3 linked regions of the Daphnia pulex genome follow. The protein of the gene in region 1 interacts with the protein of each later gene in a biochemical or structural test. Links are inferred from orthologs where the notes say so. Each region holds a gene or a part of one and is shown on either strand. Other genes may lie near its edges. The genes, in order: ubiquitin-conjugating enzyme E2 C-like, RING-box protein 2-like and ubiquitin-like modifier-activating enzyme 1.

Region 1 (9,543 bases):
ATGTAGTGAGCTATGGCTTGTTCCGGTCGATGGGTGGTCATGAGATGATCACCCCACAACTCTTCCAGCAAGATCACTTCTCCGGGGAAAGAATGGCGGGCTAAATCAATAGCTTTGGCGTAGGAATGACCTTTGCGGTAGAATTCCAGGGCTCTGTCCGCTTTGCCGGTCGCCTGGTAAACCTCGCCCACCTGGACGTACATGTTGCAACGCTGCAAAGCCGTCACCACTTGATGAACCGCCTCCGCGTCGGATAAGAGCTCCTCTCTGTGCAGCATCAGTCTGTTATAATCAATAAAGGAGCTATTGGATTAAGTTGATCGTTCCTCTTATAACCCGAATTATGATTTTTTACTTGGCCGCCTTGGAAGGAAGGCCGGCTTTGAGGCACATGTTGACGGCCGATGGGTAGTCTCCCAATCGCTCATAGACTTCGGCAGCTGCCGATTCCTGACAAGTTGTTTGCAGCCATTGCAGGTAGTCTTGCCTAAATGTCAAAATTTTAAATGAAAAACTGTAATACAAATAACATTTTTCTTTTACATTTCACCTGATTTGATGTCTGTCTGAAAGATTATAAGTCTCCGCTACTCGAAGGGCGTCCTCCCATTGGAGTAATTGGCGGTACATCCGCACAGCGTCATCCGGACTGCCTTGATCGATGTAAATGCGCTCAGCTGTGGCTAAATCTCGCTGGAAAATGGCCATTCGGGCTTGAACCAGTGGCGAGCTGAATCCATCGCCCTCTGGAATAGAATCAGTTAAATCAACTCAAACGAATTTAGAAATGTGAATTTTTAAAACTTAATTAATTAAATACTGATTGTTTTAGCGACTTCCTCAGAGGCTCGCACCGTTTCCATCAGAAAACGAACTTTGGCGATGTCTCCGAGAGCGGCGAAGCAGCGGCTGGCGATGCGCAATTCGACGGCGTCGAGGCTGATGCGAGCCAAAGTGGCCCAGAGTCCTTTGGCAGAGCCGGGCGAATGGGAATCGAGTCGTTCCAGGTAGGACAGAGCCCGGACCAGATCGCCGTCCTCGATGGCCGTCCCAAATTCAATCAGCTGATCGTCCAGGGCGATTTCGTTGATGATGGTTCCGTCCTGGACGCGGACAACTGTCCTTCCGCCCGCCTCTTTGACAATGTCCAGTACTTCGCCGCGGATGTCGATGGTCTGGACCTTGTCGCTGCTCTCGGCGTGATACCAAACGTGGAGCAAGGATGGACTTTGGGCGACGATGACGTCACTGCCCGTCACCCACTCCACAAAGAGACACGAACTGAGCAAAAGCGTTTTAGTCGAGGTGGCCAGATCGACCATGTAGAGCCGCAATTTCTGATCGCGGAACAGCAACTTTCGGCCCGTCTCGTTCATTTCAAGCCAATCGATTTTCGATTCGTGCGAGATGTGACCCAACGAATGGCCGGTCACCAAATCACCTTCAAAAATGTAATTAACATTTCATTGATAAAAAGAAGTTTTTTGTGTGAGGCAGGAATTACTGATGCCAATAGTTTTCAAGTCCAGTAGATAAGCCAATCGTTTCACGTTATCCCCCTCTTTACGGTGGCGCTCGTTTATGCGGACGCTGATCAGATGCGGATTCATAAATTCCATCCTAAGAAATTTCAATTGTAAATAATAATTATTGACAAAATCATTGGAAATGAGAGAAACCTCAAACGTTCCAAAATGGCATTGACACCGTATTCTATCAGCGTGAGTTCACCCCGAGAGAAAACCATGCAGGCGTGCGGAGTGTCAAAATGGAATTTCGTTTTATTTCCATCCTGCAATCGGGAGGGGGAAAAAAAGAGAATGTCAAAGGAATTTCCGGAATTTTTCTTAATTTTAATTCCGTAAACCTGAACGACTTCCGGTTCCTTCCACGACACTTCGCTAACGAGTCCACGTTTCAAGTCGGCGACGATAAGCGTCCGATCGGTACGAGCCACGGCGTAATTTTCTCTGCCCATGATTCTAACCTGAAATAGTATGTACGTTATGATGATAATGCGTAACGTTTTCGAATTAAAATCTTGTTGATACCGTTTCGATTTCCAGGCCGGGATGCGTGCGGATGACTACCGGATGGAAAAAAGGAACACCTTCTTCCGGTACGGATTTGATGACTACTTGACTAGATGAAATGTAAATGATCTCCACTCGACCATTCCACAAAGTTCTCCTGCGTGTGTAGATAAATTATTAAACACAATAGTAACAGATTGAAAATGAAAAATGGATTATGAATACTTGGCGACGGTTTCCAAGAGTTCCACTCCGCCGCAAAGAGAAGAGGAGACCAGATAAAGCGAATCGGTTCGCCATGCCAAACACGTCACCGTGTACATGTTTTTGATCTCCTTGATTGCGCTTTCTTCCCATTGTCTCTTCCTCGAATTGAACGACAGGATGCGAATCCTTTTGAAACAGGATCCGATTTGATTGAATTGATTTCTCGAACTCTTATATTTTTATTATATCGTGAATGCATACTTATCGAAACTTCCTAGAGCGACCATCTGACCGCATCCGCTTGACACGGCCACAGTAATTTCGTGTTCGTCCTTGACTCGACTGTAATCAAACTGTTGAAGTGGCCTTCCTTCGGCCGAGTAACAAATCAGCTTCTGGTCCGATCCAGATGCTAAAATTAACGGGCCAGCCCAAACAAGAGCAGTGGGAGCCACTCCATGAACCACAACTTTTCCCTGTGTGTACACGAGACGGTGATTTTTATAATTAATATTATCACGAATAATCTGGGTAGTACCTGAGGAAGAGCAGTGCCATCATCTGCCACATAAAATCGAACAATCGTTCCGTCAGCGTGTCCAGAGATAAAACCGGTTCCCGATTGACTATAGTAAACTAAACAATTTTAGATTTGCAGTTAATTAAAACTTAAAAAATATAGATTCCCTACTTGGAGACTAGTGTTTCGACAAAGGACTCTGTGGCGTAGAGTGTCTGGGATTTGTTGGTTTTGATGTGGGCAGCGCGTACTTTTCCGTCAGTCAACCCGAGAATAATTGGCCCTTGGCTAGGCCAAATTAAGCAGGTAACAGAGCTCGCCTGAGCAAATTTATTACAGATAACTTTTTTATCCCCCCTGCCATCAGCAACCCCAAAACGGCGTGAATGAATATCAATTTTGCCGCGAAATTTAAAAACCGCATTTCAATACCAATCATCGCCGATTTTGTAGACAAAGACAATTTGATCCGTCTGTCCTATGGCGATTTTGGTAGAGTCGGGAGAAAAAGCTATTCCTTTGATGCTGTAACTTTTCTTGCCGTACTGAACGAGGGACAAAAGAGAGTACAGATTGACCAATTTAAACAAGTCAATTTCTCATATTATTACTAACTTTGGAATCGGATGGTTTAGTCGAAAATTTGTCTCTCTTCTCTCCATTGGCGTCAAAAAGAAACACGACTCTTTCTGCGGTTGCCACAGCTAATTTCTGGCCATTGACCGACCAACACATACCACACGTTTTGGCGGCGCCATCCTTTTTAGAAGAATCATTTCCTCATTCAACGAATTTATAAAATAATATAAAGGTTTTATTTTTAAATCTCACTCACTTGATAAGGTAGAAGAGTCTTTGCTCGACGTATTTGCATTTTTAAGAATCAGTATGTTTAAAACATTTTCCAGAAATGTATCGGATAATTTTTCAGAAAATGAAAAAACGAGTGTTTTGAATCTTTCTTGGTTGCTAGGCAACAAGCCAATCAATAATAGAGGGCGCCGTAAGTAGAACAACCCTGCAAGTAAAGTAAATCGAATTAAAAAAAAAGAAAAATTATGGATTTGAAATATTTATTGTGTATTTAAAAATTATTATAATCTTAAATGAATGTAAATGGTTTCCAAATCATCTCATAAAACTTAAATTTCAGATCTGGCAATAGCTTTCCGTTTGAAATTTTTTTTTGGCACACACCTCCCTCTCACGAAGTCAGTTGTAAAAAAGCTTAAGGTCGAACGACGTCCCCCTTCTGCTGCTCTTGCCCCTGGCCCAGCTTCCTTCTTTCTCAGTTTCTCAATTAGTTTTATCCTAGCTGCTTAATAATACTGTATCGACAATTTTATTGATATTACAATATGGCTCAAAATATTGATCCAGTCAACGGGTCCAACAATAGTACGGCGATGAAAGATGGGGACGGGCCTGCGTCGGCCACGAAACACCAGTCGACCAGCAAACGGTGAGAAACATACCAAACAGAAAAAAATGGCTTCAGTAGTTAATGTTATAATAACTTTGTACATTTTTGCAGATTGCAGCAAGAGCTTCTTACACTCATGATGTCTGGTGATAAAGGAATCTCTGCTTTCCCAAACGGTGACGAATTTTTTTCATGGATTGGCACAATCATTGGCCCAAAGGGAACGGTAAGTCTTCAGACCATCTTTTGTAGTTTGTAACTTACCTTAATGTCTTTGTGTTTTAGGTTTATGATGGTTTAATATATAAACTAAGCCTCACCTTTCCAAATGGCTACCCTTTTACTGCCCCAACAGTCAAGTTTGTCACTCCTTGCTTCCATCCTAATGTGGACACATATGGTAACATCTGCCTGGACATACTCAAGGACAAATGGTCTGCTCTCTACGATGTCAGGACAATCCTTCTGTCCATTCAAAGCCTGCTTGGAGATCCCAACAATGACAGCCCTCTGAATGGCCAAGCAGCTCAACTATGGTCTGATCAAGTTGCCTACAAGAAATTACTGCTTGAGAAATTTCAAGACATCAAATCCTGAACCCAATCTGAGGTTTTATACCATCATCATCGTTCCATAGCTATAATACAATGTCACTCTTCCAATGTTTACAGAAATTCTTGGTTTCCTAATTTCAAGTCTTTTAATTGTGCTGTAATGGTGCCTGTTCTAAAAAAAGAAAAATAGAAGCAAAATTTTGCATTCCAGATTTTGATGTTGAGTTTCATTGTGCGGGAATTGGATGAGGATTGAGGACTTTTGTTTCATTTCTGATCACCTAAACTACAGCTATTTTTATTTAATTTAGAATATTTGTGCGTAAATTTCAAACATACGTGGTAACGTGGAATATTGTACGACTGATCACCGTCAAATTAGAATTTTAGACATTGTACAATTCAAAGTTTAGCTTGAGCTCAGCAATGTTGGTATAGAATTTAACATAATTTAAATATTTATAGTTACGACGTTATAAGGCAAAGTTAATGTTGTATCACTTGTATGTGTTCTCAAGCTTGAAGGCCAGCTAAAATAGTTTTAAATATGCAATTTTTATTGAATGAACGTTTTTCGATAGCCTAATTCTTAAATGAATTTTAGCCTCAGCTTGAATTTCCGAGCTTACCAAACATAGTTTAAGTGTGCCGTACCAAGGGTATGCGAATTATTAACGTTGAAAATTTAAAAAACGTAATTTTTAAAAATAAAATTTTCAAGGCAACCGCTAGACTCGCTACGCATTTTCTTTCGAATGTGTGTCAACACATCTAGTAGAAATTTAACGCCTGCAGTCCACTCCAGCGTACACTTTAAGAAATTTTGGTAATATTACAATCAATTTGAAGCATTTATGAACTACTCGCGATGAAACAATTTTGGACGTTCAAACAAATTCAATACAGATTTATGAACGTTTATTTCGTTAATTAGCAGATTTTCTGAACGCAATCTTATACTTTTAGTAGTAGCTAACGTAAAAGTCCCACGTCTAAATTTCCGTGCTACAGAAATGGGAAATAACGACGCGTAAAATAAATCGAAAGATCGTCTGCTGTTTAGCTGTTGTGTTATTGCCATTGCTGTAGAACAACGCGGCTACAAGTCCTCACGTTTCGCGCGTAAATCACGATAAAATTTTCATCTTCACAACCGTTTGAAATCGTTAATTCATTATGGATTGCGAAAAAGATGTGCTACGTATTCAGAAGAAGTTGGATAAGATTGTGAAAGAAGAGCTGGTAACATATTTTGCTCATCTAATACGTCACGTTGTGGTTCAAGTTGTACGATATTAACTTGACGTTACAGGGCCAAGATGAAGCGTTGGATTACTTGAAAGCTTTGAAAGATCTACCAATTAATTTGGCTGTTTTAACTAGCACTAGAATTGGTATGACTGTCAATGCTATCCGCAAGAAAAGTGAAAATGATGAAGTCAACAATCTCACCAAAGCGTTAATCAAGAAATGGAAGAAGCTCCTACCTGGTAACTATTAAATTTTTTGTTATACTCCCAAACTGTCGTTACTTTCCTGGTTTGGAAATTTTGACTCAGGATCAGCTAACCCAAAAGAAGGCACAAAAGAGGAGGGGAAAGTATCTGAAAAAACCAAAGAACCACCAAAAGAGACTCCTTCGAAAGAATCATCCAAAGACAAAAAAGGTTCCTCTAGCAGTGTCCAATCTTCATTTCCTGCCCTACCATCAACAACCACAGACTCAGTTAGGCTTAAATGCCGGGAGATGTTGTGTGCTGCAATTAAAGGAGATGGTGTTGCTGTAGATGGTACACACACTTAAATTTATAACTTTGACTTATTCATCAACTGTTACAAAATAGGTGGAGGCGATCCTGAGTACCTGGCCCAAATGCTGGAGGAATGCATTTACAAAGAGTGTAGAAATACAGACATGAAATACAAGAACCGAGTTAGAAGTCGAGTTTCTAATCTGAAGGACGCCCGAAACCCCAATTTGCGCCTCAATTTTCTCTGTGGTCAAGTTAGCCCTGCTCGTCTTTCGAATATGACTTCTGAAGTGAGTAGTAACTGAGGATGATTACGTTTTATTAGAGACGAATGTGTACTCAAATTAAATTGTATTCATAATCTAAACTTATTTTAGGAAATGGCTTCTGATGAAATGAAGAATATTCGCCAAAAGTTTACTAAAGAAAGCATCAACGATGCTCAGCTGGCCACAGTTCAGGGTACACAAACCGATCTCCTCAAGTGCGGAAAGTGCGGAAAACGCAACTGCACTTACAATCAGGTATGATAACCTTTGGTTTTTGAAAATGTAACGTAAAAATTACAACTCGTGTACTTTTTCATTTTTCTCAGGTCCAAACACGAAGCGCTGATGAGCCGATGACGACTTTCGTTCTCTGCAACGCTTGCGGCAATCGATGGAAGTTCTGCTAAAAACCTTGTGTTGTACCAATAATGCTAAAATAACAACAAAAATTCAAGTTCGTTACCTACGTTTTGGTTAAGACAATGCCTCCGAATCCTTTTGACTAACCTTTCTTAGCCCATTATTTTCCCCCTCCCCAAAATGCACCTCAGAAGTGGAAAGCAAGTTTTGGATATTTCCCTCTCAGCTCAATAGAGTCCCTTATTTGCATTAATGGCTCTATAGTAAAAACTGACTGAATACAAATTGTAAGACCTGATCATCGAGTTTAGCTGATGTATTAAATTTTATCTTTTTCTGTGACCACCATTAACCGTTTAATTAGGTACGAAAACAAACAAAAAAATTGGGGAATATCAATTTGTTCCGAGTGCTACCCGTCAGCGACCAAAATTATAAACGATCATGAACAGTGCATTAAACAGTCGACTAATATGTAAAAAAATTCTAACCAGAAAATGGGCCAGAAAATATCATGGGAAACAGCGGGGAATGGAAATAAATGATGTGCACAGCGAGAAGAGCCTTTCCGTGCAACAGAACATAACAGCATAGTCAGAAAAACTTTAGATGTTTGTATATGCCATGATTTTTGTCAAAAGTTGAACACGAGGCATCTGTCCTTTGGGATAAGACCTCGCTAAATAAAATAAAAAGTGTACGGTATTGCAGATTATTATTTCGAATATTCGTGAGTGTTTAGTGGTGAGTGCTGGACTGCGTTTCATTCACGTTGAAAAAATGGTTAAAATGGAGGCCGTACTGCTGCCATCGATCAAATAATTTGAGTGGGCGAACAGGCCAGTATTTTTGGGAGCGCAATGTAGCTGCGTCCATTTGGATACGATCCAATTTCTCGAAAAGGGGCAAAAGTTTTTGTTCCATCCACTCGGATATCGTGTGAACGTCAAAGATGTTCTTCAGTATGTCCATTGTCTGCTTAGCTACTGCGTTGAGACTGCCCGACAGGTAAGGCAAGTCGCGCAAAAGCTCATCAATACGAGCTGGGCTACTGTAGTTGTGCCGGACGCTGTAATCCGTCAGCCAACCCTTACGTTTGGTAGTCAATATGACATATTCTTCAATCTAGAATTAAATTCGAATGTTATTTTAAAAGGTTCTTTCAGTTCTGAATCGTAGGGAGGACTTACCTCTTTTTCGAGCCGGAGGATTCGGGCCGTGCTTTTGAAGAAAGGTGCACCTGGAAAGAAACACATGGTCATCTTTTCGTGCAGAAAACGATCAGATCGACTTATCCGCAGATCAGGAATCTTTTCATATCGCGGAGCCTTTTGGCAAGATAAGGCTTTATAAAGTGATGGCGCCAGTGATTGATTGTAATATCCTATGGGACCGAAAAAGAAGCTGTTGAAATTCGCAATTAACAGATGCAAAAATAAAATGGAATCACCTCTGGATGTAGTCAACAAGTTGACCGCTAAAGAAGGGATGGATGCCGGTAATAATTCGCATAGATTACTGAAGTGGTCGTAACGCTGCCATCCAGTTATGGCTATGCCTCGGAGTCCTTGCCGGAACTTTGGACTCTCCGTCCGTCCAACGTCTAACCAATTGAGATTGTTCTCCAAATGTCGAGAAATGTCGGGGACTATCAGAGTTTCTCCGAATGCGCCTTTGAATGAGCTGGATATCCAAAACGATGGGAAAACTTGGGCGTATCGATCAAAAACATACGACCCTGCAAATCGATAGACATCTTCCGCGTAGACCTGAATGAATTTACAAATTATTCTCTGCAATGAGTTAACCAAATTATTCTCTGCAATTACCCAAACCATAGGTTCTACTATATCTCCTAATTTGGCATCATCCAGTGTCGCAGCGGTCATGTGTCTCAACATATCGTCCCAAATGATGGGTTTGACTTTATACTTGTTGTTGACGTAGGAGGCCACTCGGTGAACGTGAGATAGGAAAAGATCATCTTTAGGCTTTAGGGAACAGATTGCGCACTCGGCCATGTGAAACACTTCATCACATCCGATATGCAGATACTTGATTCCTTCGTGCATTGACATAATCTGTTCCAAGAGAATGCACACAAAAAAAGAAGAGGGTGAATAATAAATTTAGGAAAGGAGCCAAATGCTCACGTACTTGATCGACGAGATTCTGAATTAATACAAAAGATTCATTTTGTGATGGACACACCGCCTGCGGTACAGCGGGATTTTCTCTCAAATGAGAAAACTGAGGCAACTTGAGGGCATACTCCAAGTGCCCAAAGGTCTGTACGAGTGGTATCACTTCTAATTTGTACGCTTCGGCTACATTCAACAACGATCGAATCTAAAATGACAGCAAGTATTGATTAAGCGACAAAATAAAAGAAATACAAATTATTGCTTAGTTCTTACTTCTGCTCT
Region 2 (10,283 bases), on another chromosome or scaffold:
TCTGCAGGCATAAATATGGAAAAATAAGATCACAATTTTAATAGATAGGCTACAAAAAAAAATATTATTTTAAACAGACCATTAGTAAGTAGAGCTTCAGCCTCTTGCCTGTTGATTTTCCCATGAAACCACCTTAGGTCTTGGTCAGTTTCGTCTCTTGAAGGTCGTCGAGACATGGTATTGAAATTCATTTATAAAGGTTAAAAGAGCTAGATTAAAAGTCAAAATTTTTCTTCATGTTATTTTTATCAGAGAGTAGTCAAAGGGAGTTCCTTCCTGTCAGTGGCTGAACCAAAATTGAACCGAATATGCACTTGTGATTATAAGTCAGCTGAGCGAGCGCCGAGCGGGCTAGCAGACGACATAAACAATATCTCAGCATACAATTCTGAGAGCTCCTTTGCTGTGGTTTTCAATTTTTTACTGGCCCAAAATTCTGTGTTCATAATTCATATAGCTAAAAGTAAGCTTATTTTACCCATTCTTATCTTTTGATTATGTACCTGCATTCTATTGTGTATAGTTGTCAATCATATCCAATCAAACCTTAATGCAACTATTGCTTTCACTTCAATATGTCAGTCAATGTTAAAAATCATGTTAAATGTTTTTGTTTATTTTTTTACAGGTTTTTTTATTCTACTGCAGAAAATGGCAGATGATATTGATATGGAGAAATCAGTGGAAAAAACCACAGTTGGTAATGACTGTGTAGTCAAAACTGAAAAGATGTTCTCATTGAAACGGTGGAATGCAGTTGCTATGTGGAGCTGGGACGTTGAGTGTGAAATTTGTGCCATTTGCAGAGTTCAAGTTATGGGTAAGTCCCAATTTCAATATGTTTGTTAAGAAGGGTTAGAGACAAGAACTATTTTAAAGGAAAATGTTTAAAATTTATTTGTGGTTCTGGTATATTTACATTTCACAAAATATTCAGAAATTATCTGGTTTTCACATTTTCAACTAAATACTAAAGGGGTGGGGTGTCGGCAAGGTTGTAGTTATGGGGGTTGATGAGAAGTTTACCATTTTACAATGTTCTGTACCCTGCCTGATGTAGTAATGTACATAAATATTTTGGAAGATAAAACAATTAGAAAAGATTCGTAGTCTGCTGGGTATTAGGAGAAACAGTCGTATTTATAAATAACGAATCCTAATTGTTCTATTCCTAATTATAAGGCTATCTTTAAACTTTCCTGGGAAGAAATAAGGTAGAACAGAACAGATCATTCAGAGATTTGAGGAATTGAAGACATCATTTGATTAAAGAAAGGAATAGTCTTATGTACAAAAACATTGTCCGCACTGTTAAGACGTCCAACGTTGAAAAATAATTGGTCGCCTTTACAGCCTAGTAGATTCGATATCTTTTTTCGGTTTCTTTTCAAGCATACTTTTCTCGATACTCTCCAAACTGTGTCCCTTGGTCTCTGGTACGAAGAAGATAACGAAAAAGATGCTGATAAAGCAGAAGAAACCAAAAAACCAGAACGCTCCATGGGCGCCGATCGTCGCTATCAGGTCGTTGAAGAATTTAGTTACTGCGAAGCTGCAAGCCCAGTTGAAAGCTGTAGCTACAGATGCAGCGTGACCACGAACCTTGCTTGGGAAAATTTCTCCCATCTAAATTAGCCAAATAGAAATTTTGTTAGGATTGAATTTTTTTCAAACAGCCATCACATTTTAATAACGTACCATAAGCCAAGGGATAGGTCCATAACCGATGGAAAAGGCGACGATGTAGACTATGAATGTAGTCAGTGGAAGCCAACCGACGTGTTCGAGATCATGTTCAAGGTGTTGCAGAATGAAGAAGACTCCCAATGCGCCGAGGCTGATTGCCATAAAGAATCCGGATATGTTGAGTAAAACTTTACGGCCTACTCGGTCGATGACCATATTTGAGCCCAGTGTAGCCATAAAGTTAGCCAACCCAATAATGATGGAAGAGAGGTTGCTATCTACACTTCCGCCAGATTTTTCAAAAATAGACACGGTGTAAAAGATGACCGCGTTGATGCCAGAAAGTTGCTGAAAGAACATGAGTCCGAGTGAAATGAGTAGGGGCCGTAGGTAGGCAATTTTCAAAAGTTCTCTGGCTCCACCACCGACGCTCTGATTCTTGTAATTGTTTTCAATTTCGAGAAACTCGTCTTGAACGTTAGTTTTGCCCCCACGGAGCCACTGTAGAGATTCGCGAGCTTCGGTATAACGGCCTTTAGAGATGTACCAACGTGGTGTTTCCGGAATGAACCACATGAAAGCTAAAAAGGGTAGAGGAAGAGCTGCTCCGATGGCCGCCAATACTTTCCAGTCGATGTAGGAGCCCAGAATGTAGCAAAACAAGATGCCTATGTTGCCTATCGTGGTGGGCAACAGGCCCAGCGATCCTCTGACCTCCGGTTGAATAGTTTCACCCAAGTAGATGGGCAGCGTCAAGGTAGTAAGGCCCACGCAAAATCCCTGGATTGAACGTCCGGCGTAGACCATGGGCAGGTTTGTAGCAAACGTGATGAGTAACCAAGCTAGATGAAGAAAGCAAATATTAATATTTTGAATTCAATGACACTGTTGCGTTACTTACACAAAATGTATGGTGGCCCGGTAGCCATGATGGTCGTCTTCCGGCCAAAATGCTCGACAATACTTCCACCGACAATGCCACCGATTAGAGCGTTAAGCGGCATTAAGCTCCCGATCCATGACGCCTAAGAATTGAATGATTTCCAGTTAGTTTTTGTTTGGTATTAGGGATTTTAGTCTAGTTACTAACCTCTTGGTCGTTTACGGGAATAGAACTGTTGGGTTGTGTCATAGAAGCTAGGGCAGGAGAAGTATAGCCAGATGAGTACCCCTCGATCAAAGCTGCTATGGCCAGGGCCAGCGAAGCCAACACTTGAGGGAAAAGCCTTCCACGACTTTTGCGACTTGCGGGTTCCATTTTAAATGAAGGATCTGGGAACGTAATGATCTGTGAGACATTGGACAGCCTATCGTTGTCTTTATTTTCGTCGGGATTTTCCATTGCCATATTGTCTTCTTCTTTCGAGTCAGCTGGCATGATTGGATTCAGAGCAATCAACGATTCGCTGACGACCATTGAAGTGGAAGGTATAGCTAACGGGTCTTTTGAATCGGAATTGTTGAGTCGAGCTTGAGCCAACGTTTCAGCCAGCTGTTGGTAAACTACGGAAGTTTGATCGACAGTGGCTTCGCAGCTGGAACAGGAATAGGATCCAGTGGAATTGTCATCTTTAATCCACCGGTAACTTGAGGGTGAATCGGTGCCCGTGGAACTCAAGTCGCACCCACTGTCTCTGTTTCTAGTTTCACGCTTTTCGGCGGCCAGCATGATGGCGTGAATTTTACTGCTGTCTGATTCCATTTGGCAGTTTTGTCTATCTTCGGCAACAGCTTCGATATCGCACCAAATTGAAGGTTGCTGACCTAGTACCGTAGACATCTTTGGGGAGTTTTCTTTCACCTCCTAATCCACGTACGCTCTTGGACTCTCTGCAAGGTCGAAAAGTAAAGAAATAGGGTCAGCGATTAGAAACTGGGTTTCTCCAAAATCGCAAGAGAATCGGGTTTTTCCAGTTAAAACACATTTAATAATATGAGATTAATTAAAAAGTCATTTTAAACAATCACGCCTCCTTTTAAACGAATTAGTAACTAATTGTTAAAGCGCTTGGAATTTCAATCTTGCAACTTGTTAGACAATAGAATGGATTCGAGATTTAAAAATCTTAACACAGATGGTTTGGTTGTTTTAAGACAATCGAACGTCTTCACAAACATTTTACATAAATCGGAGTGTTATTTGACTTGGATTCCGCCGCTCGAGTAAACACAAAGTTACAAATAACAAAAAAAAAAAACAGAGTTTCAAAACACTAACTAAAATTAAACTTACAAATGCCTGGAGAAATAGAGGACGCCTTGAAGAGCTGTGTTGACGCAGGATTCGAGTGGATGTGTGTGATGAGCTAGTGGGGTCCGCATGTCTTTTTATACTTCTCAGCACGGCCTACCCTGCGCCGCTCGGTTTCTTCAAGTTTGTTTCATCCCTCCTTCTTTTTCATCTTCTATCGCGAGAAGTACGCTCAGCCTAACCACACGTCACATCGCCAACCCCCAAAATGTTTTTGACGAATCCTCTTTTTTCCGGTTTTTATTCCTACTGGGATCTTCGGCCTTTTTTTTTTAATCGATTTATTTTGGTTTTAAAATTAAATTAGGATTACGTCATAGTTTTCCACAGAAGGATCGCTATCCCCCAGACCCCCACTACTCCTGATTTCTATTCTGGTCGAAATCGCAATTTAAAATCAGACTCAAAAATAATTTTTCACACTCCATGAGTAGGTCAATATTGACTTTAACATAGTGAAAGTGAATTTTTAAGTTTAAGTGATGGTCTTTTGAGAGGGAGAAATTGAAAGGTTAATAACGTTCTCGGCCTAGTTTGAACCGGTCGAAAGCAGTTTGAGCAGGATTTTCTCCCCTTAATATATCAGGGGGTGGATAGGTTCTTATACAGGTAAGAAAGTTAAAAACCATAAATAGGTCTTTTGGGAGATTGTGGGCTTTCCAGCGTCGAAGTATATCGGAACCCCCTGTAGGCCTAAATGAGCCAACAAGATTTCATTAGTAACAAAATAAAAAAACCCACTCTGAATTTGCCAATAACTTCAACGTTATAAAAAGAGAAAACTGGCTCCACCTGCCGTAAATAATCGATAACACGACGTTGAACTTGACAAACTGACTTTCAATTGCTTTTGAGTATACTCTGTCTGGCTCTTGGGTTGATACCCTCCACATCTTTAGATAAGATTTTACATAGGGTGGTGTTTATCCCTTGGTATATTTCTTGTTGCCCCTTTTCCCCTTTTTGGCTTTCTTAAATATACAGGTCATAGGCATAAAAACATGGAGGGATGTTTATCGTCTTTCCACGGAGATGTGCTCCGTACCAGTTCTTTGCCTGGTACGGTGAAGGACGTGGTGGATTTCTCCCTTTTTAGTTGGAAATACGGTATCCCTCCCCCCAGAGTACCAGCCAAGATGACGCCCAAATAACCCAAGATCAAACCCCCTATTCCATAACCCGATTAACCTAAAGAAGAACAGGAATGAAGAGGAAGACAAAAATTCTTTTTTTCTTGGTTTTCTACATCTTTTTGGAACAATCGCCTTCGAGCGAGTTGTCGTTGTAACCTAACGGTATAAGAGAATATTTTTCGAGCTTCATATGAAAGACATAGTGGTGATGAAATGATATTGAGTAGTAACCATACAAAGCAGCGTGAACTTTGGTTCAAAGTCCAATGTTTAAGTGTTTTCCGGATCGAGTAACGCTAGAAGATGATGATAAATTAACAGAAAAATCGAGTAAAATGTTACAAGTTTAAATTTTAAAAGAGAAAGTCAACATTGAATTTCTTTTTTCCCTATTATGGAATTGTTTGGATAACAGGAAATTGAAGTCTAAAATGTTGTCCTAGTCCTTCGTTGGAAAAAGGATAGTCGAAGGTCGAAAGAGTGCAGTGAACGAGCCGCTCACGACCTCTCCCAACAAAGTGACGACATCGATAGCTCCGATAACCTTTTCTATTTTAAATTCTCAAAGCTGTTAGTTTTTTAAAAACTTTTCCAACCCCATTTACAACAAAGCGAGGAAAAGATAAAAATAATTTCTTTAATTTGTACTCAATTCAGATGCATGCCTACGTTGCCAGGCCGAAAATAGAAACGACAAGGAACAGGAGGAGTGTGTAGTCATCTGGGGCGAATGCAACCATTCATTTCACAACTGCTGCATGAAATTATGGGTAACATAATTGTTTATAATGTATTGTGCAAAATGAGTTAAACGTGATTTCTCGCCCTTTAATTCAGGTCAAGCAAAATAACCGCTGTCCTCTCTGTCAACAAGAGTGGTCCGTCCAACGAATTGGCAAATGAAGATCTTGATATTCGTGATTATAAAGTCACAAACACAATTCCAATCTTTTTTTTCATAATTGCTACTCATTAATACACGCAGTGTCGTCAATTTGTCTTTTTTTCACACGTGTATTTTTCCTTTTTTTTTTTAATGAAAGATTTTTCGGACTACTTGGGATGTTATTTTGTGTTATTTTCATTGATTGATCATCATGGGTTGTTAAAACAATCTATTCTGTTATTTTAATGCTTATTTTTAGGCTTCTGCGCTGTTAACGATTGAGGAACCAAGTCATCAATGCAGCTAAAGCTAGAGTCAAATGAGACAGAACTGCGCCTGCCACAGCGCTGTTGCAACGCATGCCGGAGTGGCTGAACGTGAATTTGACTTGATCCGGCGTATGGCAGTCTTTATCTGAATAAAAGGTAAAACAAATAACGTAATCATAGAAATCCTAAAGCATTTTTAAGTTAAAAATTTTAATTTGTACCTGCGCAGGGCAAATCGTCGTTAATGTTGGTGGGAGCAGCCGAAATGTAGATGTTTGAACACTGATCCGGTACCATTTTACCACACGGCTGCATGAATTTAAACTCGACGGTTTCACCGGCTTTCAATGCGGTCTTGCAGAGATCTCCGTTTCCTGGACGTTCCTTAGTGGTCGAAACGCAGAACCTTGCCATGCCGTACGTGCTCTTGAACTGTTAAATAGGGGCGGAACGCGTTACAAGTCAACACATTTAAGTACGTACTTGTTATCTCATTTGAAACTAAACAAGGAAAGGTAACTGACCCACAAGCGCAGTTCGTTGCTGCTGTAAAAACTTTCTGGGCCCAGACGGAAGTATTGGGTGGTGTAAGTGTTGAGGAGTCCTGTGTACATATATTTGGCCTCAGTGGAGTTGGAGCTAGAACTAATGTCTTTGCACTCGGGATATGTCAGACGAGCACCGACTGTTGAATGTCAACAATGAAAACATAAAGAAATTTGAAATCAATTGATGGCAAATTTTATCTTTCTGCATACCTGTAGCTAAGCGCTTGGCGATTTCGGGGGCAGCTTCGTGATACTTAGTGAACTGGGTCATGCGGATAATGTCGCGATCGAAATTGGCTACAAATGGACGAAGTTCTTCGGGATTGCCCAAAGTGGCGAACATGATGTGAACATCTAAAAATAATTGTCGTTTTACTTTTAACTTTTTTCTGACTTTTTTTCCAACATTCGAGATAATGACCTGGCATTTCGCCGAGCATTTTCAACAAAACAGATTTGATTTTGTCTTTCTCGTTTGAGATGCTGGTGGTCACGAAAAATAGGATGGCGCGAGTGTTGGTGCCACCAATTTTGTTGGCCTTTTCTGAAGACCTTTCGGCCAAAATACGAGTGCGAGTTCGATCCAAAGTGTCAGCTACACGACGTTCACTGGTTCCTGCAATTTTGGTGAGTGTTATGCGTACAATTTATGAAATTGAAATTAAATCCATGTCAAATTTGTATACCAATAGGGAGGCTGATGAATTTGCAAGCTAATTCGGCTCGATTGCGAGTAGCGTTGAGATCCAGGAAAGGAGTTCCGTCTTTACTTGACACAGCTTCCATTCGGCTGCCGCCCAGTTGGACATCCAACGCCAAAGCTAAAGCTCTGTATAACGTTTTAAATTACATGTTTTAGTATTATGATTGTAATTATTTGTTTCAAAGACATTCAGACTTACGCAGCGAGATCTTTCTGGCTGTAAAGGCTTTTGGCATCCGCGATTTGATCGAATACGAAGGTAAGATCAGTGTAAGTGGCTGGTGTAGCTTCGGCCGTCGATAGGGCGTAAGGTCCTTTGCACTGGGTGAAATCTACGATGTTTGAGTTGCCTGCAAAGAAAAAAAAAAAGTTTAAAATCCCGAAAATTATCCGTGAAACCAACAAAAATTATTTACTTAGGTATTGGTCCAAAAAAGAATTAATTTCGTTCATGGTTGTGTTGACATATTGGCCGATTTGATCCGCAGGTTTAACTCCGGGAAGAACAGTCGGAGCGCCGTCAATGCCGCGTGAGTACAGGACCAAAGCAGCGTTAAGAGACTACAATTAATTTGATCAATTAAATTAAAGTTGAATTTTTTTTTTAACTGCAGAGCATTCAGCGCACCTGTTCTTTGAGCATGGCCTGATCTACAATATCTGAGTCTCTGTAATTGTAGAGGCGGTTGCAAGCGCGGAACTTTGAGTCACCATGGATACCAGTCTCAGAATAGTACATTTCCAGGACGGCCGAAAGTTTCAAATAGCTGCTCGAATCCCAGGTAGCCATACGTTGAGCCATCAGCAAACCTAATGCCAATATTAACAAATGTTACATTCGTTTTGTCTAGGTTCAAGATTTTTCTGATTCTCACCATCAACACCACCATAAAATTCGGCGTTGGTCAACATGGAATGTTCTCTGGTTTCCAGCTTGTACTCACGCGGGCACAGTGTGCAATTCCACTGTCCTCGTGGTCCGAAACTTGGAAGGTTCTTGGGTGTTCTCAGAAGAGAAGTTTGTGCAATATCACCTAAACATGACGACGTTTTGGATTGTGGAACAGTAAAAGATTTTGTATGGATTGAACGAAAAAATACCTGCGAGCGTAGCCACCCAAATACTCTGAACAACCCTCTCCAGTGAGCTTGGCGAAAGTTCCATTTGCGGATCTTTGATGAGCTCTTTCAACTACAACAAAAGTAAAGGAAGATTTTTATGTTAATGAATCGTTTGATGCAATTGAATGGAGATTACCGGAGCGCTTTGAGGTTCACTTCCGGCAGCGATACCAGTCAGGACCGGGCCAGCTGCTACTGTGCCATACTTGGTGTGAACGATACCGACTTCCATTGGCTGAGCGGCCAAGGTTTCAGTTTGGCGACGCTTACGCTTCCAGCCGTCTGATTCACTTTCGCTATTGTCATCAACTGGGCCGTAGTCTTCACCCCCAGTCTCTACGGTATCTTCTCCAAAGATATTTTCCGTGTCTTCGGGTAAATCTTCTGGTACATCTTCTGTCAGTTCCACATCTGGCTCCTCTACTGGCTCATCTACTGGCTCATCTACTGGCTCATCTACTGGCTCATCTACTGGCTCATCTACTGGCTCATCTACTGGCTCATCTACCGGCTCATCTACCGGCTCATCAACTGGCACCTCTTCCTCATGTTCAACACCTTCGTGATCGTGCTCCGGTTCCACGAGATCCCTATTATAAATTGAATACGTCCTCAGTCTAGGTAGAGTGTCCGTCGTCAACAATTTCAATACTTACTCATCAGGTTGATTCTCATTCTCTACGACATCTTCTTCCACGTGATGAGAATGGTCAGGTTCAGAATCGGCGGCTGGCTGCTGGGGGTTGGCGAAGGACCGAGAAACAGGTGGTGCGGTTTTTTCTGCACTCGCCGTGTGGTTAACCGTGTAAGATAGCATCCAGTGCAGTGAACACTTTAATCAACGTTCACACAAAAAAAGAAATAGAAAAAGGATTATAATTCTAGGTTTGTAGCGTAATACGGCACTTGGTCTTCGCAATCGACTAGTAAAAGAATAATTATCTTTACAGGTGGGGCTGAACAAACACCTACACGAAAATGCATGGCTGTGAGGTCAAATCTTTGTCATAGTCTTTACACACGCACAGCACAGACAGTAGATAAGTTTAGAACAAGCATTATCTCTCCTTTTCTTTTTTTCTTTTTCCTTTTTTTTTCTTTTTTCTTTTTGGATTTTATTTTATAAAAATGAGTCGCCTACATTTTTGTGCCTCAAAATCTACGGGATAATATTTATTTTTTGTTTGTTGAAATTTTGTTTACCTTTTCTTCCATGGTCAATGAGGATTCCGGGAAGTCGGAAGCTGTTCCAGGTACTAGCTTCCATTGGAGGCGGTATTTGTCACTTTCAGCGCGTTCGTTGACGACCGGAACAACGTCGGGTCCAGCACCATCAGGAATGTCAATGATTCCATCGTAACGAAATCTTTACGTATTAAATATTTTTTTAAATTTTCAGATTTAAGAAAAAAGGTCTATCTGTTTTAAAGTTGGCGTTAAAGGATGAGACGGTACCTGTGGATTAGTGTGCTGGCCATCTTTCCAATCGGCCATAGAGCGGTGTCGGGATGAGCTTCGACTTTTCGGATGAGGGCTACCAAGTTCTCTATGGATGCGGGCATCCGGCGGAATTGGTCGCTGATGGTTTTGTTTACGTAACATAACGCCAAGTTGTCGGGAATGCGGTTTGGCCATGGATCGGCTGCCCAAGCCGTTGCCGCAAATATCGCTATTCGTGATTGGTA
Region 3 (11,017 bases), on another chromosome or scaffold:
CAACGACGGTAAACGATCACCAAAAAAATGATAAAATAAAATAAATAGATTACCTTCAAGATGATTGGCGTCAGCATATTTACACCAGTTTATAATTGCATCAAAAAGGACAGAGCAAGCTAGTTCCCCAACTGACTCCAAATCACTTTCCAAGAGTTCTTCACTCAGGGACTAATCATATAAGAAAATAATTGCATGCTGGTCACTAACAATAGTAAATTAAGCATTATTGAATTTTGTTTTACCGTCACGGATTTTTCTATCAAAGAGTGTATGATTCTCGGGTTTACACTCATTGTAGATCCTCCTAATGAGTTGTTCATAAGACAATGATGCAGGTACAGAGATTTAACCGCCAACGGAACAGCAGCTGAAAAGCTGAAATTAAACAAAAACATGTTGATCACGAAGCTGAGGAGTGAGGAAATTACCAAAATCCATACTTGCTGCTGAAGACGTGAGTTATTCCGTTCATCACATGGCGAATGATCAAGCGAAACTGGTAATAAGCTGTGTTCCACTGGATGAATAATTTTTTCTGCTCTTGCGTCGATGAACACTCTACAAACGCCAGCATACGTCGTGCGGCTGTACAAAAACGACTAGTTCTGGAAACAGCAAAATCCACTGACGATGTATTATAATCGTCCAACGTCAAATTATTCATTTGTCTTATTACCCTTCTTCTGCTAGCAAAGCAAAGCTTGCAAAATGCTGTAATAGAGCCCAGTAAACGAAAGGCTCAAATTTTACTTGGTTAGCAAGCAAATAAACACCAAAATGCAGCAATCGCTCTTCTTCTCCGTTATGACTCATGGATTTCTGGCAAACTGAATATAATCTTTGTCGCTCGCTGTCTAAAGCCTAAATATGAATAGCAATTCATGATTATATAGAAAGAAAAATATCAAAATATCAAAATAATTTACTCGAAAAAGTAAGACAGAAGGATCCATTTCATTACTATTAGCCGCAATAGTTGCGCGGACGGCTGCAATCGTTTGGCTTTTGCCATAAGCAGAATGCCGAGTACGTACATCAGTATGATCTTTCAAATAGCGCAACACGTCCATAGGTCCAATGTCATATTCTTCTTTCATATCTGAAATATTAAATATTAAATGCTTATGAAAATTATAAATTAAAGAAAACAGTGTTTTACCCAAAAGTGAGTAAGTCTTAGGCACATCAAGGTAAATGAGGCAATGAGCACTACTTTCTTGAGTAGCACCTCCAAATGATGTTTTTACTATAATATCCCAGGTTACTTGGCGAGTAAATTTGTCGTCGATATGGTACCAATGATTTTGCTGGCTATCCCAAACGTAGATCCAATAGTGACCGCCATCTGACTGTCCAGCATGGACCATCACCGCATGCAACTGATATGGGCGGCAGATATGCATTTTGCGACTGCGAATATGTTCTAATTGATAATTTAATTGCTGGGATTGGTGACGATGTTCATTCATCTTTGTTTGAATTTCAGTTTCCCATGTAAGATTTAAAGACCGCAAAAGGTCAAAATTAACAGAGGTTTCTCCTACCGTCTCTTGATAGTTTTCATATAATTTTTTAAGTTGTGGCACGTCCTGGTGTAGAATCGCTAGTGACCGTAATTGCTTTGTAAGTCCCTTTTTTGTGGAAGAAAGATTTTTAAGAACTCTATCGAGTTGTAATACTTGCTCAGAGTTTTCAGACAAAAAACGATCCATAAAAACTAGGGATGGGAATGTCATTTGATGATTGGATTTAATTAATTCTGTCGGATTGGTCCCGCTTACCAGCCGACACAAATCAATTAAAAATACTGGTGGAAGATTGCTAAAACATAGTTGCTTGGGATGTTCAAGTGGCAAACTGGAATGTAAAGTGTGAGCTGAATCAATCCTTAATGAACTGGAATGACTTTTGAGAGACTGTTCCAATAAATCCAACAGGGTAGCATCTTCATTTACTTGTAAAGTATATTGCATGAATTCTTGATGCTGGATGCTTGATGATTCCATTGAATTTGTTGGGATACATGATCCAATGAATAATTGTTCAATTACATGTGGGTTGATCTCTCTTATTCTGTTAAGTACCACTCCAAGAAATTCACAGGCATCTTGTTGACCCAGACCTTGCCCCAGTAATTTTCCAATGGAATTCACTGCTCTTGATGGATCAATCAGTTTTTCATCGGAGAATGTGATTGAGACAAAAAGTTCCTGAAGACCAACTAAAACATCCATTGACGGGATTGGCACAGTAGTCTGAGGAGGCACAAACTGTAAAATCAATTGTCGAAAGGCAGGAATGTGGTATAAAATTTGAACTGCAACATTGAACCAACAAGTGGAACCTAAATTTATGAGACCAACTGGTAGGTTTTCAGTATTGATTTTAGATGATGTAGGCACCGATGGTCGAGGAAAGTAACGAGAGACGTGAGGCCCAGACTCGCCAGACAAACTCGCCATGCCTTGCTTCGCCATATTGTCGATGATTCGTAACAAGAATGAATTTTTGCTGTCGTCCACTTCCATTGAACTAAATGTTTAGCGAATATTATACGATTTTAACACAACAAGTGAGCAGTCGACTCTTATCATCCCAGCCCCATTTTTTTTAAACCGGGAAATTTAAACAGTCGCGGGATACGCCATCTAGTTTCAAGAATCAAAGTCATAATTTAATGTTTTATTTTAACAAATTTTTGCCTACGAAACGACGATTGCAAACTTTGATTTTTGTTACGATAAAACGACAATACCGTAACATCATTAAGAAGATTTTTAATTGAATAAATATTGAATAAATCGAACTTTCAGCCATTGATTTATCTCAATTGATTTATCATCAATCGACCAAAGTCAAAGACTTGCTAAGTACGTTGATAATGCACTTGATAAAAAAAAAAACATTTTTATATAGGATTTAATTTTGACGGCATGTATTAACTTCATACCAATATTCAAGGCCAGTTGTACAATCGGTAAACGGGGAAGGGTTGAAAGGGAGGTTGTTGAAAAAGTTGCAGCCATGTAGAGTAAGGATTTTTGCCCTTTGTTAATCCAATCGGTAACATTTAATACTCACTGGCACGAAGAAAGAACTCTTGGAATTGATTATAAATGACCCAGGTCAACATAACTTCCATAGAGAATTCTATTTAGAATTAAAGAAAGCAACGAACTAAGCTAATAGTCCACAACATTGGATATAGCGCAAGTGAACTGATGATTATGGTAGTAAATAACCTTGAAATCAAATATGAACCAACCCCCAACCCGCCGCACAACGTAGAGTAATCAAATAGTTTTATTCGGTCGGGAGCACGTAACGGACGTAGGGCACTTCAACGTCTTCATCTTCAAGGTTATTACAGCATAACTCGAAGACGAGTGCTTTGACATGAGGCTCCAGTCTCTTCTTCGACACACGCTTGACAACCTCTGACATGGGGAGATCCATACGTTCGCTTCGTTTAGCTTGCGGCATAAAGAACGAATAAAGCATGCAAACACCCTGTGAAAGCATGGTGATTTTCAGCTTGTGTTCGCTTTCGAAGTAATCAATAAATTGCCGGAGCGTCTTTTCACCCTCCACTTCAAAACGATCCCACAAGGTCCATTCCTTGTCGTAATACTTTAATCAAATACAAACAAAAAATTTTTTAGTTAACGAATCGATTAAAATATTTTCCAACAATACCGTTTGCTTGGGAGCAGCGATTGGTTCAGAAAAGCCAAAGAACGGAAGAGCCAAGTTGATAAACCCGTTCTTAAATGCCTCAGGATTGGTATGACCCTGTACCAACTTCAAAAGTTCGATGCAGACCAAGCCTGAAACGACGGAGGTAGTAGTAGCAATGGCTGGAATAATCTTTCCAGCAATAAGTTTGCTCTTGTGGCGATCGGCCGGTGCGATATCATAATTCTCTGCCCGCAAGTTAGAAGAGGCTACGATGAAATCCATATGAAAGTTGGTGTCGTCATCCTTTTCAAATTCGAGGGGGAGAATGCGCAAGCCGGACAGAGAGTCCACAGATGGCAACTCCGTCTGCAGCTGGGTAAGTCTGTCTTCATCAAGCATGCCTGGGTTGTTGGCGGCAGCAGCAGCTTCCGCATCCGAAACAGCAATTCTGACTCCTGAACGTGGTACGAATTCCGGTACGACACACGATTCCACCATTTTAGTAATAGCCTATATTCGAGTCCGAGGGGATAAAAACAACTGTAAATCAAATTATGTTTTAACTAAAAAAAGTGAACTCACCTGTACATCGCGCGACTGTGGGATGTTGTAAATTTTAGCTTTTAGATTAGCAGCCGCAACCACATAATCCAAATGGACGGGGTTAGTGATATCGAATTCCAATGGATGAGGACAGCGTTTAGGTCCCGACCAAAACGGTTGACCTGTCAAAACAAAAAATTATATACAAAGTAAATTACACTTTATCAATAGATTTTACCAGAAGAAGTAAGTTGCTCGGGTGGAAAATTAAACAATAATTGCTTGATCTGATTGTGATATTGTTCCTGCCAATGGAGGCGAGCCCATTGAACACACTGCTCAAAATTCTTCGGACGTTCCTCAACTAAGCTGCGGTGGACGGCCTCGACTATCTCGAGTGGTTGAGATCCTGTTAGCTTTAGTGTTCTCTCCATGAATTTAGAATCAACTAAATATTGAGCAGCGCTCTCTGCTGATTGCCGGAACAACCCTTCGAACATATCCCGAGCCCATTGCAGTGTGTGTTCAATGGCATTAGGAAAATTCTTCAGCGTACAGATAGGAATTGATTTTTCCGGAGGATCCTATAAGTTTAAGAAGAAAGTTGATTAATTACAATAAACCAGAAAACTAGCATAAAAGAAAAAATAAATAATAAGCTATATTACTTGAGACGAACTATATGACTCCGTTAGATGGGGGATAACAACTTGAACGTTTCCTTTGGTACCCAGAGTTCCAGATTCGAGCAAGGGCTTGTGGTAATAGACGCAGCGCCTATCCATGTAGATACGGGCATCCACGTTGTCGAGGGCATTAGCAACGCCATCCAATTTCGAAAAAAAATCGTCATCAAAGAACTGCTCCGTTTCGGGACCGACGCGATTCTCGAAGGCTGTAACGTTGGCCTGAGGGTTCATCACCTTCACGGCAGCGGCCGCCGAACTGGATTTGGGTTTCTGTACGTCATGCGACCGGAAAAGAAACTGCCTGTTCAGATTGGACTTTTCAATCAAGTCCATGTCTGTTACGAAGACTTGGCCCCCTTCACCAGCACCAACTCCAATCATGGCAAAATTTTTGAGAAGCTAACAAATAGAATATATTTTTTAATTAATAAAATCTACAGAAAATTTATTACAAAAACTTTGATAATTACCTCACAACCGATAGCTCCAGCTCCCACAATGAAGTAACGTAGGGATCCAAGCTTTTTCTGGAATTCATTGCCAAACACTGCCACCTGAAAATGTAAAAAAATAAAATGCATAACTGATGAAAAACAAAAATAAATATTTCAATACCTGTCCATCATATCTGGATCCAGTAAGCTTACAGTTTTCTTCGGTCAACGAATCTTGGTTATCTGGCAGACACTCGGTGGCATCGAAGTATAGCCATTGAACAATGGGAGAAAACTTTTCGCTACACGCCTTCATAACTTCTTGAGCGACAACCCCGCCGAGAGTGGCGTTTAAGGGGTTCAAATCTCCTTGACATACATGGGAGAAGGTGGCCAGTAACTTTTCGTCAACTTCTTCAACTTTAGATGAGCCACTTAGACCGCTGTTTAACTCTTTAGCTAAATCCACAAACTGTTGACTGTCTTTACGGCTCCAAGGAGTTGGCAATCGTCCCTCCTTCTTGACGTAGGCGTCCAATGTCCTGAATGCTAGATGGATTTGGGGAGGCCGATCAAATTTGCCGAAATCTGTCATCACGAATTCTGGTTCTTCGAGAGCGTCAGCCAACGGTTTGAAGTGGATTTGCTTAGGCATTTTCACTTGGGTAACCACTCCTCCACGTACATAGTCGCTGAAAGCGCTCGTGTCACCAATGCTAAAGGTGTATGGTCCAAGTACTTTGATCTTCTTGGGTTCGCAACCATTCAGCTCAACCATGCCCTGTACCTCAGAGAAGGTAACACAGTCGCCATCTTCCAATCCGTGCCGGGTCTCATCCAAGCAAGTAACAACACTTGCTTCTTCTTTAGACACTCCAGCAATCATAGCAGAAACGGGATTTTCTCCAGTAGTATCGATGATGGTGAAATCTTCCCCAAAGTCACAGAAGACTTGGGCAAACAGACCTTGTGTTTTAGAGACGATGAGAGCATTGCCGAAGCTACGAACGATCTCAGAAACCCGAAGTTGCTCTTCAAGACTTGAATTAGTTAAAACTACAACTCGGTATTTCTTCAAGAATTCTTTGTTCAACTCTCCTGTATAAGTTTCTACTGGGACATACTGGTTGAGTTCGGCCAGGCTCTTGTGAGAAACTTCAGCTCTGTTCTTTCCCAGATCTGCTTCCGATACATAAAACTGGGAAGAAAGGTCAGAGGCTTTGCAAATTGAGTTGTCATGAAGGGTGACGGACTTCACACCTCCCAAGATGATATTCTTAGCAATTTCCACTCCAAGGCCTCCAAGACCGGAAATCAGGACATCAGAAGTTGCCATCCTCTGCATAGCTTCATGGCCCAATACGTAAAGTTGTCTGGAATAAAGACCCTCATCGATGGTGTGGATGTTGCCATTTCCTGCCATTTTCGGTTGCTGCTGAACTTCTTTTAAATGGTGATTGCTACCGTTACTGCTGTTCCCGTTATTTTCTTCCAACTTCCTTTTCTTTGCAGCAGGACTGGGAGACGAGGGTGACGGATCCACCTCAGCAGTGGACATCTAAAAATTAAACTCAATACCTTGGGCAACACGAGCGTCACAATGGGTGCTAACAAACCAGTTTTCTTACTTTAATATAAAAAAAATTACGGTAAGTTTCAAACTCCGAACGATTGGAATACTCACTTAGACTATTCCAACGAAGGGAGAATTATGAACAATTACGACAAAATGCCGGCGAATTTGCACACCAGGATTGGAACGAAAGATAGCCAAACTGAAAGAATGACGAGCAAGAGAGCAACAGAAAGTCAGTCAGTAATTACCAGTACTTTCTATGAACTCGAAAGTGCTGCGTGCTGCCACCTTTCTCCCACCGATGACTCGACGTAGATATGGGGAAATGGCGGGTATCAGCTGATGCAAGTAAGTCCTTGTACCGGCAATTCCCTATTCCTACTAAAATCCAAAGTAAAAATGTCTGTAATCAACGAGTAAGGTGGCGCAATAGTCGACTTTTTTATTAGCCGATTATTAAATAGAGTGATGATGATGACAAAGAAAGTACGCGTAATAATAGTTACATTTCCCGCCGACAATTTGATCGCTGAATTAAAGAGCATCTGGCAACTTGAGCGTTATAGCTTACAGTTTTACACGTGCTTGGATTGAAAATTCGGCTGCTTAAAAATACTGTAAAATCTGCATTTTTTAAAATAAAATATAACAATAGGATCTAATCAGGTATAATTGAATATTATTAAAATAGCTTACTAAAATAAAAACTCAAACCAAAATTTTCTTGAAGATTCATTAAGCCTCCACGAAGATTTGACAAATATGAAGAAACTCTCAACCAAAAAAACGAAGACTGCTTCTTCTTCAAGAAAAAGCAACACAAACGATAGTTCTGACTCAACAAATATGGCAGAGAAAAAATTGTCATTTGTCAGTCATTTGCTTTCAGCCAAAAGTGTCTATGATTCCTTAAAAAATGGACAGACCAAACCAACTTCGAAAAGATCAAAACTTAAAAAAAAAACTTCACGAAAGAACAAAACATCATCCAAATTAAATGTAGACAACAGTTCAACCATTAATCAAAGTGTGTCGGTGACTGGCATTGGTGCCTTAAAACTTAAATTAAAGGAGAGCAACATTTCTGATGAAGATAATTCATTCCAATCCTCTCCCAATGAGGATGATTCTTTTTTAACAGCAGAAAAAGAAGGTATTGAAGAAACCTTTGCTATGGATGAGGAATCAAGTTCTTTGCAAGCAGTCTACCAAACTCTGGATACATTTGATTTCCTTCTAATTAATCCCAATGAAGTTCTAGCATTCATCCCATTTCAGACATGTTTTTACTTCAAAGGACGTCTTAGTTTGACATGTCTTAGTGGGATTGCCGAGATGCAAGGCTTTTCTATTGAGCAGAATTTAAGTAAAACATACCATGTTTTTTCTCCTAGAGGATACAGTCTGCAGTGCATCCGTTCAGTCGGAAAAAGCAATACGTCTTTTAATGCAAGCCGCGCTCACGCTCTCTTGAAGTCTGCTGGGTTGACGTGTGAAGAAAATCTTTTGAAGAAAAAGAGCTCTGAAAATGTCTTGCTTATTTTGCGTTCCCTTAACTTTGGAATGATTGATTACATCAGCCGTATTTTCCCCATCAACATCCTCAAGAAAGAAGAGTGCGTTCCTCCAGAATCTAATTATTGGAGAGATGAAAATCGCAACCTATTTGGCAAACTTTGTAACCAACTTGACACGAGTATTGTTCTACGCGGAAGCATTTTCAGCGCCAGATTCTATTTACAACCAGATGTCTGGGCAGAGTATGCACAACAATTAATGGATAAATATCAAAAAAAGGAAACTGTTAGAGTAATGTTGCTCGGTGGAAAAGGAGTGGGGAAATCAACTCTACTTCGTTACTTGCTTAATCAACTCATCCAAAAGTGTGGAACCGTTTTGGTGGTGGACTTTGATCCTGGCCAGCCAGAGTTTTTTCCTGCGGGATGCGTAACAGCATCTTTAGTCTCTGAACCGTTGCTTGGTCCAAATTTTACCCACATTCAACAGCCACTTTTCTCATACTTTGTCGGGGATGCAGATATTATCGGTTGTCCGGAACGCTATGTTCGGTCATGCCGGCAACTTCTTATCGACTGCAAGCTTAAATTTGCCTTGGAAAACGTTCCAACACTAATCAATACCATGGGATTCACTAGCGGTATTGGTCTGGATGTAACTTTAGACTTGATTCGTCTTACCCAGCCACACCAACTTCTTCAAATTAGCAGCCGCTCACTTCGTCGCAATTTCCCTTCAATGCTCGAACGTGATTATGTTGCTCAACACCAACGCGGCTGGCTAACCGATGCTGCTGAGTGGTCAGAAAAATTACCCAATTACGAGCTACAAGCAATCTATTCATCGGCGGAACTATCGGAGAAAAGTTTAGAAGAATGGGGTTTTCGTGCATCGGAATTGCGGCAAATTGGACTAATGTCCTATTTCAGCCAACTATCTAACAGCGCTCATTGGTCGTTAATGGATTCTGTACCCTACTGCATTTCATGGTAATAATGATTTCCCAATCAATATTATTGTATTCAAGAATAATTGTGTCAATTAAAATTTCTATTTCAAGGCAAGATTTGGCCGTTTGCATCTGCCATGAATCTGTTCCACCTGCTTTGACAATGGCCGCTCTCAACGCTTCGCTTGTTGCTCTTTGCATTTTGGACAACGATGCCGCTGCTTCTGTTCCATATTACCAGGCTGCTGACGGAAAATACCCCAAAATTTTGCGAGAGTTACCTTTGATGCCTTGTCTGGGCTACGGTATTATTAGAGGAATCGACCTTACAAGAGGCCGTGTCTACTTGATCAGCCCAGAACCAGCGGAGCGACTTGCACATGTCAATTGTTTAGTGATGGGAGGAGTACGAGTTCCAGAAAGTCTACTACTCGATGCACCTTTATCGGTCAACCAAGATGAAGAATGTGTCACGAAACTACGAGTCCCATACGGGACTTTTGGTCCTTCTGTTGCTCAGCCAGCATGTCGACCCTACCGCAAGTACAATCCCGTCTTTACTTTGCGCAATGTTGTGTAATATGTGTGATGGTTAAGTAAAACTAGAAGTTGTGTGGCGATGAAAATAATTTTTTTTTTATTTGATTTGATCATAAGTTAGAAATAACAGCCACTTTTATTTATATAGAAGTGCTATTCGCGCTATTATTAGAATGAATTGATTTTCAACCCAAGAATAACAGGGTCAGCACATGAAAATGAACTTATAAATATTAATGTAGATTCACGGTCAGCAGCCGCAAGAAGAAGTTTCCTTTCTAGCAATTACACCGTTGCTTTCTTCGATTGTTCGTTTACTAAGCTTTAGGGACGGCCCAAAAATGTCGGTCGTTTGGAAGCGGTTATACTTCATCATTATTTCGATCAGGAACCTAATTTTGAATGTAGGGCAGTAATTGAGAGCAGTTTGTAATAGACATTACTCTTTCGACTCACCGCATGCAGTCACCAACCATCAGGTCATCTTTTGCTGATGTTTCTGTCCAACCAATGAAGCTGTGCTCCCGACAAAGAGTTTCAATCTCCCTAATTTGGATCTTCTAAATTATTAATTATTATTTGCATTAGAACGGATTCTCACCATTGATCCACCTCCCTTTGCCGCAAATCACACTGTAAAATAGATGCGTTTAGTTAAATATCTGCTTAAATTGGACTGCACCAGAAACAACTTACTTTGTTGGCTAATAACATACACGGAACCTGGTAGTAAAACAGACATTTAATTTAATTTTAAAAATACGGTGGTCATGTAGTTATTGTTTATTATGTCAGTTAAATTTATTTATTAAAATAAATTTAACATAGACAACCAAATAGAAAAGGTAATACACAAAAAGCAGGAAAGGTAAAATAGAAAAAAACAAAAATAGCAAAACAGTAACATACCGGCGCACCATCTTCCAAGACACATTTAGAGTCGACATCTTTTTTCCACTTTACTGCGTTTTCAAATGAGTTTCGACTTGTCAAATCGAACATAATGATACAGCCTTGAGCTTCTGAAAGTGAAGGTTTTTAATACAACACAATTTATAGACTTACAAATAAACGAAACCTTTGTAAT

What was found.
Region 2: the proteins of ubiquitin-conjugating enzyme E2 C-like (region 1) and RING-box protein 2-like form a complex in vitro, tested with the Homo sapiens proteins (4 studies listed by BioGRID). The link is inferred for Daphnia pulex from reciprocal best matches to the Homo sapiens genes UBE2C and RNF7.
Region 3: of the proteins of ubiquitin-conjugating enzyme E2 C-like (region 1) and ubiquitin-like modifier-activating enzyme 1, one has a biochemical effect on the other in vitro, tested with the Homo sapiens proteins (5 studies listed by BioGRID, with this or other methods). The link is inferred for Daphnia pulex from reciprocal best matches to the Homo sapiens genes UBE2C and UBA1.

The regions. Positions count from the first base shown.
Region 1 is NC_060021.1:2,195,886-2,205,428, forward strand, and holds ubiquitin-conjugating enzyme E2 C-like, read left to right. Parts: upstream 1-3,971; 5' UTR 3,972-4,118; coding exon 4,119-4,222; intron 4,223-4,294; coding exon 4,295-4,409; intron 4,410-4,468; coding exon 4,469-4,780; 3' UTR 4,781-4,947; downstream 4,948-9,543. Other genes in the region: intraflagellar transport protein 172 homolog, read right to left, coding at 1-282, 356-487, 551-746, 821-1,441, 1,505-1,620, 1,680-1,792, 1,868-1,987, 2,052-2,190 and 7 more; transcription elongation factor S-II-like, read left to right, coding at 5,914-5,979, 6,050-6,227, 6,291-6,527, 6,582-6,778, 6,866-7,012, 7,084-7,164; hexosaminidase D-like, read right to left, coding at 7,856-8,242, 8,308-8,501, 8,568-8,886, 8,947-9,198, 9,275-9,466, 9,535-9,543. UniProt on the Homo sapiens protein: Accepts ubiquitin from the E1 complex and catalyzes its covalent attachment to other proteins. In vitro catalyzes 'Lys-11'- and 'Lys-48'-linked polyubiquitination.
Region 2 is NC_060024.1:9,931,637-9,941,919, reverse strand, and holds RING-box protein 2-like, read left to right. Parts: upstream 1-350; 5' UTR 351-463; intron 464-628; 5' UTR 629-651; coding exon 652-820; exon of another isoform or gene 821-1,347; coding exon of another isoform or gene 1,348-1,626; intron 1,627-1,698; coding exon of another isoform or gene 1,699-2,528; intron 2,529-2,587; coding exon of another isoform or gene 2,588-2,711; intron 2,712-2,776; coding exon of another isoform or gene 2,777-3,466; exon of another isoform or gene 3,467-3,516; intron 3,517-3,919; exon of another isoform or gene 3,920-4,076; intron 4,077-5,727; coding exon 5,728-5,840; intron 5,841-5,907; coding exon 5,908-5,973; 3' UTR 5,974-6,064; downstream 6,065-10,283. Other genes in the region: tyrosine-protein kinase Shark-like, read right to left, coding at 1-1, 80-191; facilitated trehalose transporter Tret1-2 homolog, read right to left, coding at 1,348-1,626, 1,699-2,528, 2,588-2,711, 2,777-3,466; uncharacterized protein LOC124200065, read right to left, coding at 6,228-6,370, 6,447-6,657, 6,750-6,910, 6,984-7,127, 7,195-7,389, 7,460-7,602, 7,676-7,826, 7,893-8,037 and 7 more. UniProt on the Homo sapiens protein: Catalytic component of multiple cullin-5-RING E3 ubiquitin-protein ligase complexes (ECS complexes), which mediate the ubiquitination and subsequent proteasomal degradation of target proteins.
Region 3 is NC_060018.1:5,969,505-5,980,521, forward strand, and holds ubiquitin-like modifier-activating enzyme 1, read right to left. Parts: upstream 7,326-11,017; 5' UTR 7,178-7,325; exon of another isoform or gene 7,032-7,177; intron 6,926-7,031; 5' UTR 6,906-6,925; coding exon 5,529-6,905; intron 5,468-5,528; coding exon 5,384-5,467; intron 5,313-5,383; coding exon 4,893-5,312; intron 4,809-4,892; coding exon 4,463-4,808; intron 4,407-4,462; coding exon 4,264-4,406; intron 4,192-4,263; coding exon 3,700-4,191; intron 3,634-3,699; coding exon 3,307-3,633; 3' UTR 2,922-3,306; downstream 1-2,921. Other genes in the region: uncharacterized protein LOC124207205, read right to left, coding at 54-171, 246-378, 444-608, 680-864, 930-1,102, 1,163-2,531; polynucleotide 5'-hydroxyl-kinase nol9-like, read left to right, coding at 7,686-9,430, 9,502-9,970; ras-related protein Rab-7L1-like, read right to left, coding at 10,181-10,322, 10,387-10,476, 10,532-10,563, 10,627-10,653, 10,840-10,952, 11,009-11,017. UniProt on the Homo sapiens protein: Catalyzes the first step in ubiquitin conjugation to mark cellular proteins for degradation through the ubiquitin-proteasome system.